Linked DNA regions of Oryzias latipes. The protein of the gene in region 1 interacts with the protein of each later gene in a pairwise test. Links are inferred from orthologs where the notes say so. Each region holds a gene or a part of one and is shown in the gene's direction. Other genes may lie near its edges.

Evidence for each region.
Region 2: the proteins of nr4a1 (region 1) and peroxiredoxin-4 interact in a two-hybrid assay, tested with the Homo sapiens proteins (2 studies listed by BioGRID and IntAct). The link is inferred for Oryzias latipes from reciprocal best matches to the Homo sapiens genes NR4A1 and PRDX4.
Region 3: the proteins of nr4a1 (region 1) and cdkn2d interact in binary tests that used the Homo sapiens proteins (3 or more experiments, as listed by UniProt). The two-hybrid records come from large-scale screens. The link is inferred for Oryzias latipes from reciprocal best matches to the Homo sapiens genes NR4A1 and CDKN2D.

Annotation. Positions count from the first base shown.
Region 1 is NC_019865.2:22,178,960-22,183,190, reverse strand, and holds the start of nr4a1 (nuclear receptor subfamily 4 group A member 1), read left to right. Parts: upstream 1-1,406; coding exon 1,407-2,189; intron 2,190-2,292; coding exon 2,293-2,422; intron 2,423-2,665; coding exon 2,666-2,829; intron 2,830-2,920; coding exon 2,921-3,123; intron 3,124-3,214; coding exon 3,215-3,393; intron 3,394-3,782; coding exon 3,783-4,039; 3' UTR 4,040-4,231. UniProt on the Homo sapiens protein: Orphan nuclear receptor. Binds the NGFI-B response element (NBRE) 5'-AAAGGTCA-3'. Binds 9-cis-retinoic acid outside of its ligand-binding (NR LBD) domain.
Region 2 is NC_019872.2:14,033,046-14,036,996, forward strand, and holds the end of peroxiredoxin-4, read left to right. Parts: intron 1-2,788; coding exon 2,789-2,919; intron 2,920-3,014; coding exon 3,015-3,049; intron 3,050-3,324; coding exon 3,325-3,375; 3' UTR 3,376-3,437; downstream 3,438-3,951. UniProt on the Homo sapiens protein: Thiol-specific peroxidase that catalyzes the reduction of hydrogen peroxide and organic hydroperoxides to water and alcohols, respectively.
Region 3 is NC_019859.2:10,441,386-10,445,514, reverse strand, and holds cdkn2d (cyclin-dependent kinase 4 inhibitor D), read left to right. Parts: upstream 1-1,303; 5' UTR 1,304-1,423; coding exon 1,424-1,648; intron 1,649-2,993; coding exon 2,994-3,347; 3' UTR 3,348-3,923; downstream 3,924-4,129. Other genes in the region: ap1m2 (AP-1 complex subunit mu-2), read left to right, coding at 1-8, 170-245, 340-365. UniProt on the Homo sapiens protein: Interacts strongly with CDK4 and CDK6 and inhibits them.

The DNA of each region.
Region 1 (4,231 bases):
GTGTGGCTACAAAACGCTAATAAAATGTTCTTGTGCCCATATAATGTCAAATTGTGGTTACAAAATGCTACATTGTGGTTACAGAATGCTACATTGTGTGCATAATATGGTAATTGTTAATGTGAGGGAACAATTTCTTAAATGTTTTGTACAGGGCTTTCTATTCTTGCTTTTACTTGCAATTGAATTGACCCAAACTTAGGCGTTTTTTTAAGTAACTGAGTTATTGTTATTAAAGGGGTTAGATCCCTGTATTTCCATTTGCTCAATGTTAATAAACACTTGCTAAATAGAACCTCCCACTTTTATTCAGATCTACTCTGTTTTACCTAGATATCAGTAGCGCGCGCCCGTGCGCACGTGTCTGTCAAGTCGGACAAAGCTGCGGTTCTGGGCGTACGAGCGTCAACGGAATCCCGTAGTGCGTCACAAAAGCGCTGTTCTCTCGAAAGGTGCTGTGATTGGCTGCACCATGGAAATCTCCCGCCCACTCATTTGACACGCATGGAAAATGACGTCATGGACAGTGCTACGCTAGAGCAAAAGTATAAGAGAGGCGGGGAGGACCAGAGGAGCCGGACGGAGAACCTGTCAGCTGGGAGACGCTGATCATGAGAGACGGTCGCTCGTAAAGTGGAGAAAATTCACAAAAATACTTTAACGGACTAGACAGGTAAGAAGCATCTTAGTAAATCAATCCTATAGTGTTTATTTGAACTGCTTTATTTTTATTTTTGAACGGAAAACAAATCATCTGACTTTTACAGCTGCACGCACATATGCGGTTTAATGTTTTTTGAAATCGCTTCACGTGTTTAAAAAGTCGATGAAGTCTTCTGAAGTTAGTAGTCTGCTGGTTTAATTTTGCACATGCGTGTTTTGGCAGTGTACTCCAGAGTGAAAGTCAACCCCGCTGCACTTTTCAGGCGTTACTATAATTACTAGGAAATGAGAAATGATAAAGTGGGATTTGATGACTGCTCCAACAAACAAGCACGACTTTCTAGGATTTTCTTATAAATGGAGGTTGACAGGGAAGAAACATGAAAATTCAAGTTAAAAATATTCACTTAAATTACAGAGATACTGTGTCAAAGGGTTGTGATAAACAATACTTTCAATACAAAGATGACAGCAGCAGTAATTATGGTACTCTTGGTTTTTTTATTTGATATATCAGTAAAACATTTGTATAAATTGAAGTTTGAAAAGCCAAATACTGATGCTCCATTGGTAGACACAGGAATTGAATCAGGATCTTAAGGATTGACAATAAGCTGCTCCACTGAGCTGTGTGTATACATTATGTATAACATTTCACTCTGGAGTGGAAGCTTGTTCTTGAAAGCTCATTGAAGACCTAAAATCCAAGCTAACATGTTCATTTCTCTCTCAGTCTCACAGTCATGACTTGCGTACACCCCCGACATGGACGTCAGCCCACTGAGAGCAGTTTCAGCAGCTCTGAGCTTCAGAATGCAGACTTTCTCTCCAGGCTGGCCGTTGACATGAGTGGCTCCCTGGAGCACCACTCTACTCCGTCCCTGCCAAGCATCGGCTCCTTGGTGGGCACACCTACGGGATCTTTTGATGCGTACTCATGCCAGTTCACTACAACCCCTGCCCATGTACCTTCAGCGTCAGGCCAGGAAAGCCCCTTCAAGCTGGACGAGCTCCAAGTTTATGGCTGCTACCCTGGAGCGTTCACTCTGAGTTACCCAGATGAGGCTGTGTCTCCCAGTGGCTCGGATTACTTTGGCAGCCCCGCGTCCGCCTCTTCTCCTTCGACTCCTGGGTTCCAGAGTCAGAATGTGTCTAACTGGGATTCAGCTTTTGGGCCATATTCCCCTGGTCAAGGATACTGGATGACTGAGGACACCTCAGGGCCACATACTCCATCTTTTTTCATGTTTGGCTCAGGTTCTGTGGAGGACATGTCTCATTTGGGTCAGGCACTTTTCCGAGAGCAGGAACCCTTTGCCGCATCTCAACCTCACCCATCTGCGATGCAGTTTCCCGCTATGGGGATGGAACAGGCCCTTTGTCTCGACAGTGCTGAACAGCGGGATGGAAGTCTATCGCCCAAGCTGAAAAGTGGAAGTGAGGGCGGCTGCGCTGTTTGTGGAGACAATGCCTCCTGTCAGCACTATGGGGTCCGCACCTGTGAGGGATGCAAGGGTTTTTTCAAGGTAAGAAAAGACAAACCAGTCCATAGTGGCTTAGTCGCTTCATAGAAACATAGCAATTTAAAAGGTAAAATAACTAATTCCTCTACTGTTTTCTTTTTCACAGCGCACAGTTCAGAAAAATTCCAAGTATGTCTGCCTTGCCAACAAAGACTGCCCTGTGGACAAGAGGAGGAGAAATCGATGCCAGTTCTGTCGCTTCCAGAAGTGTCTGGCAGTGGGAATGGTCAGAGAAGGTATGCAAAGTACAATACCTCATTGTACTATCATATTATTGAAAATAACAACTCTAAAGCTAATGGCAACATTAATATCAAGCATAAATGAAACATGATAGATTCTACATCAAGCTTTAAAATGTTCAATTGGACTGTTCTTTTCCTTAAACAAGAGTCTGCTTTCATAGCAAATATAGAGAAGAGAGATTCAGGGAAGATGAATAATTTGAGACTAACACTTGATGTCACCTTTTTCTACAGTTGTTAGAACGGATAGCCTGAAAGGACGGAGGGGTCGCTTACCATCGAAGCCTAAAGGTGTCAAAGATGCCACTCCCATTGTATCCCCAGTGAGCATGATTGCGTCGCTGGTCAGGGCCCACATTGACTCAAACCCTGCTGTTGGAAATCTGGATTACTCTAAGGTAAGCCAAAGCAGGGTTCCTCTTTTTTTGTAGTTCTGTTTTTGTATACTTTGAATAAAGCTAAACTCCCATTTGTTTTATGTTCTCTTAGTACCTCGAGAAGGAAGTCAGCGCGAACCAGAAGGAAGACGTGAGTGACATAAAGCAGTTTTACGACCTCCTCACGGCTTCTTTAGAGGTTATCAGAAAGTGGGCGAAGGACATCCCAGGTTTCTCTGACTTCTGCTTGGAGGATCAGGAACTGCTGGTGGAATCTGCATTCGTTGAACTCTTTATCCTGCGTCTTGCCTATCGGTGTGTGCCATTCTCCTCTGGTTTCTGTTCTGTTTATCTCTTAATGTTTGAAAAAAAAACAACAACACATACTTTTTTACCATTTATAAAGGTCCAATCCTAAAATGGAGAAGCTCATCTTCTGCAACGGAGCTGTCCTGCATAAAACACAGTGTGTCCGGGGCTTTGGGGAATGGATCGACTCCATCCTGGAGTTTTCTCAAAGCCTTCATCGCATGAAGTTGGATGTCTCCTCCTTCTCCTGCCTTGCAGCCCTGATCCTCATCACAGGTGAGATGTTTGTTGGTCTCAGGCTTCTCTGCACTAACACTAGCTATAGTCAAAAAAGTGTGCACGTGTTTCTTTGTCAGGGACACTAAACAGCATAACCATGAGAGACCGATGTGACAGGTGCATGACAAAGAGCAGCATAACTTCACGTACAGCACAGTAAAGATGGCATAGGAGACCTAAACAGAAACAGAGTGAAGGTTTTATTTTTGACTCAAGGCTTGTAAGGTAACAGCACTTTGAGAGGTTAGCTAAGTGACCTTTGTGTTTGTACAAAAACAGTATACAACAGTGTGCACACAAATGAGATAAACTCAGAGGTGGAAAGTACTTTTATTTGTGTTTATTTTGTAAAATGAGATTTGACAGTGTCTTGCTTTTTTCAACAGATCGACATGGCCTGAAGGAGCCCAAACGGGTGGAGGATTTACAGAACCAGCTCATCACCTGCCTGAAAGACCATGTGACTAGCTGTGGTTCAGAGTCCTTACGGCCCAATTATCTGTCTAGACTTCTCGGCAAGTTGCCCGAGCTCAGGACTCTGTGCACGCAAGGTTTCCAGCGCATCTTTTACCTCAAACTAGAAGATCTGGTTCCTCCCCCACCAATCGTGGAGAAGATCTTTATGGAAACTCTGCCGTTTTGAGTTCCAGATGCAAAGAGACCAACTGTGAAAAAAACATGAGTAGTTTATCTGGATGCCAAAGACAATGGACTTGGTGCTCACACTGCACAATACCTGTAAAACTTTAAGAGTTTTAACAGAATAATAATAATCCTAAGGGATTCTGCAGCGTTAAGGAGAGCACTTCTGAATCACAAAGTGAATGAATAGTTA
Region 2 (3,951 bases), on another chromosome or scaffold:
TTTTTCTGAAATTGGTCACTGAGACTTTTATATAGTAGTTTGTGTTCATCCATTTCAATTTATTATTGATGTTCATTACAGTTGGGTTTTATTCTCAGTGGAATAATAATTCATGGGGGGTACATTTGTTTTTCCCATGATTCTGAAAAAAGAAATGTTCCATTTAAACCAGTATTTCTGTGAAAACAGGTGTCCGTAACAAAACCGTGCCCTTAGAGTGGAAATTTGACATATAAATAAAATCAGAAATTAAATTGAGGTGTTATCTTTTGAAATTAAAAAGAATTAGGTTTAGTTGTTTGGGTAAGGAGTTGCCAAAGTTTCTTTATGTAAACCCCTTTGGTTCATTTTAGTTTTGCGGTTTGGTCTGTGTTTCACTTGAGAGATCAGAAGAGAGCAGACAGGGGTACAAAGACATGCAGCTGGAGGCAAATCAAAGAGCGCATAAGAACCTGTATGACAGGTTTGATACAAAGAAAGCAGAAGCTGGTTTTTGACAAGTTCCATAAGCATGATGGAAGGAGAAGTTTGAAGACCGGATGAATATGGAAAATATTTGGAGGGCACAGAGATGAGTTGGCTGTTGTGGAACAGATAGTAGCAAAGATTAGAAAGGATGAAGTGAGGAAGAGGATCAAGAGTGGAAAGGCAGATGGTCTTGCCAACATGCCTATGGAGTGCTTAGGAGAGGTGGCAGAAGAGTTTCTGACTGGGTTTTTTACCAAAGTCTAAACCAGTGAGAGGATGTTGAAGTGTTCTGGGGCCCATTTTTAAGAAGGAGGGAGGGAGACGTTCAGAATTGAGGAAACGATAGTGGACGAAAGCTGATGATTCACATAGTGAAGTTATGGGAAAGAGTAGTGAAAGCTATGCTGAGGTCAGAAGTAAGCATTTGTGAGCAACAGTAAGGTTAATGCCAACTAACAGAACCACAGCTGCAATGTTTGCTTTGAAAATGTTTTTAAGAAGAACAGAGAAGGTCAGAAGGAGGTGCATTGTCTCTTTGTAGATTTAGAGAAAGTCTATGACAAGATACAGAGAAAAGAGGTGGAGTTTGTACTAAGAAGTCTGGAGTGACATAGATAGGTGGGAGTTGTTCAGGGCAGAGAGCTGTATGATAGTAGTGAGATGTCCTTTTTGGTGTGACAGAAGAGTTGATGGTGGAGGTGGGACTACACGAATGATCAGCTTTGTGCCTCTTCTTGTTTTTGTTGTGGTGATGGACAGACTGACAAATGAGGTTAGACAGGAATCTCTGTGGACCATGTTTGCAGATGACATTGTGGTCTGCAGGGAGCAGGTGGAGGAACATCTAGAGAGGTGGAAGCTTTCTCTGGAAATGAGAGGAAAGAAGGCCAGCTGTAGCTAGACAGAGTATCTGTGTTTAAATGAGAGGAACTCAAGTGGAACAAGGAGCTTACAGGGAGCAGAGGTGAAGAAGGTGGAGGACTTTAAGTACTAGGGATCAACAGAGCTTTGTGGAAAAAGGTGAGAACAGATGAAGGAAGGTTTCAGACTTCATGTTTTTCATGTTTTTACAAGCAGAAGGTTTTGCTGTCAGCAAGAATGAAAGGAAAGGTGCAGAAGGTTTTGGTGAGAGCAAGTTGAGTGTTTAGACGGTGGCTCTGAGAAAGAGACAGGAGGCAGAGCTGGAGGCCACAGAGTTGAAGATGTTGAGGTTGTCTTTGAAAGTGATGGTTACATCAGGGCAAGTCTATCACAGTGGGCATTAAATTAAACAGAACTGGGGGTCAGCTTCTTATGGAGTCTCTGCTGCTTGATAATGATGGACACTGCTTTGAATGAATTAAGTTAATTGGAATTATTTTATTCACAAGCAGTGGATGGAAAACTTAACTTTACATCATATGACTTTACACAACTGAATATAAATTGTGTGTAATGCTACGTTAACACTGGGCATTTGACGCATGTTCATAAACGTGCTAAACATGCTTTCTTGAACACACGTTTAGCACATGGTATTTATACTGGTGAAGCAGGGAGGGGACTCTTATTTTTTTTTTATTCCTTTTTCTACTGTTAACTAACGCATGTCCACCACCTACAGTTGAAAGAGACTTGGTGGGAAATGTCAAAGCTGTGCAAATCGCACGAATCTTGCTCTAAACTATATTTTTTTCACAATTCTATTCTAATATATGAAAGACTTGTCATATAGTTCCGGCCAGGCATTTAGCACAATTATTAAATTCTCCTCCATGATCAATTAACAGACAGTTGGTACTTCTGTTGATTAAAAAAGAACGCCATCCAAACATCACTACGGAATCCGATTCTCTGATTGGTCAAAGTTCAACCTGGTTTAACTTGCAACGCATTTTCAGTGGCCATGCTTTTCGTATGTAGAGCCTAAAAACGATCGTAGGAACTTGCGTAGCGAAGCACGAATGCGAGAGTTTTTAACCCTTGTGCTATCTTAGATGACCCCATCCTTACATTGACGTGTTCTTCCTACCATGACAAAGGTGGATAAAGGTGGAAAGATTTCATGTAATCCATGGACACCAGTGAAGATCACAAATCATTGAAGAAAAAAGATTCAGAGCACTGTCTAGTGGGTCTAGATGACCCAACTCCCAACGTTAAAGTGCCTAGGATAGCACAAGGGTTAATGCAGAAGCCTGAAACACACATACGCACATTTACCTAGATTTTGCATTGAAAGTGATCACTTGAACGTTGCGTCACCAAGAGCAATGTGAAGGTGGCTAAATAGGAAAAGCAAAAAAAAGCTGCCCAATAGTAACATGTGTGCTTCTTTCAGGGGTCTCTTCATCATTGACAACAAAGGCATCCTGAGACAGATCACCATGAACGATCTTCCAGTAGGAAGATCTGTAGATGAAACCTTGAGGCTGGTTCAGGCCTTCCAGTATACTGACAAACACGGAGAAGGTACAACTAACACCATTTTTTTACACAATTTCTATAGTTGAAAATGAATACTTATAAATATATTTTTTTAATAAATTAATACTTTTTTTCCACAGTGTGTCCAGCAGGATGGAAACCAGGCAGTGACACAGTAAGTACAACTGTGCTCATGAATAATTCTATTACTGGAAAGGAAGAATGAAATGGCTTCATTTTTGAGAATGAGTCTGTCTTGGTTTGGCCAAATGATGAGCTGTTATTCAGATCAAAAAGCAAGAACAACTTTCATGTATTTAACCTGCACATGATTGTATCAAACATTGAGATAAAAATCAAATCTGGTTGGTTTTATCAAATGGTCATTGTTGTTTGCAGTCCTGTTTTTAATAAAATAATGTTTGTAATTAAATATTTTTCCCTCCACAGATCATTCCTGACCCTTCAGGCAAGCTGAAGTACTTTGATAAATTAGACTGAACTTTTAATTCCTCACTCTTTGAAATCCATCCAAATAAAGTTTGTTTTCTTAAAGTTCTGAATTTTTGGTCTAAAAAGCATGGTTAGTAAGTTATTGCATCATGATTTTTGTTTGTTTGTTCTTTGGCAAATTCAAGCTTCTTTACTCATCCATTGGTCAACCTCAAAATAAGACATCAGGTAATACCATCATACGTCAGTGGGGCCTAGCAATAAGGATCCTAACAAACATTTATGACTTACACTCTACAAAAACAGTGTATGGGTGCAGACGGATCATTAGGGTGAGCACTCTCTCCACACCGTTTTGATTTATGCCCCGAAGACCAAGAAGGATCAACAGTATTCCAGAGTCTCAAAACACCATTTGACCATTGGATTATGCTGACCTTTTTTATAAGAGTTGGTGGTTTGGAATTCATTGGATAGTCTACCATTCCAAAAGAAAACAAATCCACTGGTAGCCTTAGCTTTCACTCTTGCTCTTTATGCCCATACATACTGTACCTCTACTCATTCACATTATGACCTACTAAGGGAAAAACTTTTCTACAGGGGAGATTTTTTCATCATCAT
Region 3 (4,129 bases), on another chromosome or scaffold:
GAATTCAGGTATGAATGCTTCAAAGTGTTTATTATATCAGTTGCCAATTACTGTATTGTCATTAAGACTTTTAAATAGTTTTTTTTATGTCCATTGACTTGTTTTGTCTTTGCCTTCTAATCTATATGCGATAATAATGTGTCATTTAACTTTATGCATTTTTTTTCAGGTTCGGTATATGAAAATCATTGAAAAAAGTGGCTACCAGGCTTTACCCTGGGTGCGCTATATAACACAAAGTGGAGGTATACTATAATAATTACGTATATTTGATTAAAATTCAAGTATGAAGTAGACACTATCTGTGTTTTAAATTGTGTGCATTTGTTGTTGTTTTAGATTACCAGTTGAGAACAAATGCCTAAGTAAAGCCTGCAAGATGCTTTACTGCATATCTCCAGGACTTCCAGAAGAGCACAATGAATTTTACCTTTTATCTGCACCTGAAGAATTTCTTTAATTTACTTCTTTTTTGTGTGTTTTAACTGTTTTATATTAAATCTCCATGCAATTTGATTTTATTGTCACCTTTTCAGATCTTTTTAAAATTGTTGAAATAAGATTATTCCTCTGAAAACAACTTGTTTTTTGTGCACCTGTTTCTTTGTGAGTTGTTCCTTGAGGACTTTATATGCTGAATTTAGCAGCCGTGGTGTGGTTCACCACCGTGCAATCAGTGCCGGCAAATTCCGCCTAAAACGAAAGACATGAACCCGCCTTTTTTTCCACACTGTTGTGAAGAAATACAACCAAAGCGTGGAAATGTGAATGGACTGTCTTTGAAGAAACAAACGAATACGAATCGCCCGCTTTCTTCGCTTCGCGCTCTGATTGGTCAATCCCCACTGTTACCACAGTGATAACGTAGTAACAGAGTTGTAACCACGCCTCTCTTACCATTTATGGAAGTACAACGCCTATTGGGCCACCTGTGATTGGCCAGCATATCTACTCTCCAATGTTTGTAAATTGTCGGCTAGATCCACTACTGTTTGGATCTCAGCGCGCAAATGTATTTGTCAATGTTTATAAACTCTTCCATTTTGAATTGTATTTAAAAAATAACCGGACTGCGGTGTCGGCGGGCTGAAAATTCGTATCGAGGATTCGGATACTAACGTATTGACGAAGGTAGGATTAAAGAGCTCGGTTTTTACGGTTAGCTTTTAGCTTTTCTGTTAATTTTCATAACTCTCTGTCGATGTGACTTAAGTGTCGGCCAATTTTCTCAATAAAAAAAATATGGATTTGGATATTTTCTGCCGTTTGATTAGCCCAAACAACCAAGTCAAAAACAGTACGCTTACAGTCACGTAACATGGCGTCACCGTAAAAACTACAAGTTACGTTAGCCGGATGTTGTTGTTAGCTAGGTGTAGCCGACAGCAATCTTCCTGGCTTTTTCAGTCTTCCTCGTGCATTTATGTGTTTTAATGGCCCAACTGTGGTTGATTTTCATGGTGTACGGGGCGCGTGTGCTGTTGAACAGGCAAGAACGGAGTTTATAATGGTCCTCAGTCAGATGGACGCTGGCAAAGCGTTGACGGCGGCGGCAGCCAAAGGGAATACCAGCGAAGTGCAGCGGATCCTGGAGGAATGCAGGGTGCATCCTGATACCCGGAATGAGTTCGGCAGGACGGCGCTGCAGGTGAGACCTGTCACGGTAGTAAGACATTAGTCATCTGTAGGCGGTTGGTTTGCTCCTCCACTGTATTTACAGCCCGCTATAAACATAAAACTCTCAACACTTGTTTCTTATAAAATCTTCACATCAAAAAGTGAGCTAAATATTTTTTTAAACCATCGTAATATACAAGGAATTGACTCTGCGCAATAAATAAGTCGCGCATGTTGCCAAATTAGTTCAGTAATGAATAGCCGCTTCCAGGAAGTTGCGCTGTTCCTGTTTTTGATACTTTTCACAGTAAAATGTTCGACGACACTTTCTGTAATTTGCAGACTTGACTGTACCGGAAATCTGATTTAGGCAACGGGGGTATTTTTTTTTTTTTTTACATTTGAGCTGCTTTAATTACGAATAAAAACTGTAAACACAGTAACCACACAACAATTACTATTCCAATATTTAATTAACCCAACATGCAGAGATTTCAAAGTAAAATAGTGGTATTTGGGTGGGAAAAAGGTTAGAAATTGTCCATTAATATTTATTACTAAGTACTGTATTTTATTTAATATATACTATTTATTGGTATACTATGGTAAACTAGTATACTATTAAATATAAATACTATTAATACTAAATCATCAAACAAGAATTATTGTTTTATTATTTCAATCCTTCACTGTGTTATGACTCCGTATTTTTAGAATTTAAATGTATTGTTTAGATGTTTTAATGTATTTGTAAGCAGCCCAGTACTCCCTTGGAATCTTAATGGGAATATCCTGATTAAATAAAGGTCAGAAAATAAAATATATTACTATTATTGCTGATGTCTCTGGAGCATCAGTGCCAGTGGTGGAGATACTAGTTGGTGCAACTTTTTCCCTATTTCCTTCATGGTCGAGTCTGTTTATATACTTTTTTTTAATGTACACTTCTATTATTCGGTAATTTTCCATTTGTGTTTTTTATGAAAAAGAATAAGTTAAAAAAAACGTGACAGAAATATTTTTTTTCTCCCACTTTTTATTTTATTTAATTAGAAGATTGTAAAACATGTTAAGTCAGGCTACTTGACGTGATGATACTGCATTTTTATAGCACACATAAAAAAATAAATGCTTTAACAAACTGTAAGCAGAAAAAATGAAAATGTTCTTTTTCAGGTTTAGTGCAGATCTCAAAGTAAAAGCTGTATTTTATTTAGTGTATTTGTTTTTTATGACAGTTATATTTTTATTTATTTCTATCTCTTATTATGGATGGATTTTTCTTTTCAAGCAAAAGTGAAGGCGTTCTGTAAAGGAAGTTGCTGATTTGTGCATGAGGGCTAATAAATATGCATACAATATTTATTTTTGAACAGGTTATGATGATGGGGAACTCCAAAATAGCAAGCTTGTTGCTGGAGAAAGGAGCAGACGCCAACGTCCAGGACAAACACGGCATAGCGCCTGTCCACGATGCAGCGAGGACAGGGTTCCTGGACACCCTGCAGGTCCTGGTGGAGAATGGAGCTTCGGTGAACATCCCTGACCAGAACGGCGCCCTGCCCATCCACATTGCCATCTGGGAAGGCCACCGCGATGTCGTGCAGTTCCTGGCTCCGCGTTCCAACTTGAAGCACGCCAACCAGAGCGGTCAGACGGCGATAGATGTAGCCCGAGCTTCCTGTGTGCCGGATATGATGGACTCACTTTTTGCTCATATACATAGTTAGAAAAGTTTTCTTCTCACTCGTCGTCATTCTTCATTTTTTTTTGGCTTCAAACCTTGTGACTTGAACTCATTGCTGTGTAAAAGATTATTTTTTTTTGTTATTTGTAGCTCAGCATTAATATGTGACACAAGACATATTGTCTTGGCAGCTTATTTTCAGTGGATGGGTGTCTATATACTGTAGATACCTCTTTTGCACAGTGCAATTTAGGCACCTTATACTTATGCATATATCTGTTTTCCCTTTTGACTGGGAGTGCACATTTGTATAAAGTTTCCGCAGTGTTTCCTAACTATTTCTATTGTGTAAGAATTCATACACGTGTGTTTCTTTTTAAATTACAAAACTTGACATGGTGCACCCTCGTTGCTTTGCCTAGTTGTTAATCTGAATTAGATGTACTTAGACTTTCAATTGACTCTTATTTATTGTTGGACTGAACATTTCCTGTGACGTTGTAAATACAAACATATTGTGATTTGTTTAAATGTTATTTATATAAAAACTTTTACGGAAAAAAGTGAGATTATTCACTTTAATATTTGAGGAAAAACAATAAAAGTGTTGAACTTCAAAGCGAAGTGTTTGAATTTTTCTTTTTTTAACTGATACTTTAAGTGTTCATAGCAACAGGAAAGTAAATGTGAAAAAAGGGGAGATGAAGTTAAAAAAAAAAGAAAATCATGTTGTTGCCTTTATTTTTACTGATTTTGTTTTCTTTTTTTTATAAGGAACCCACCTTTTGTATTTTCTTTCCCCCCCATGGAATTGAAGAAGAGTTT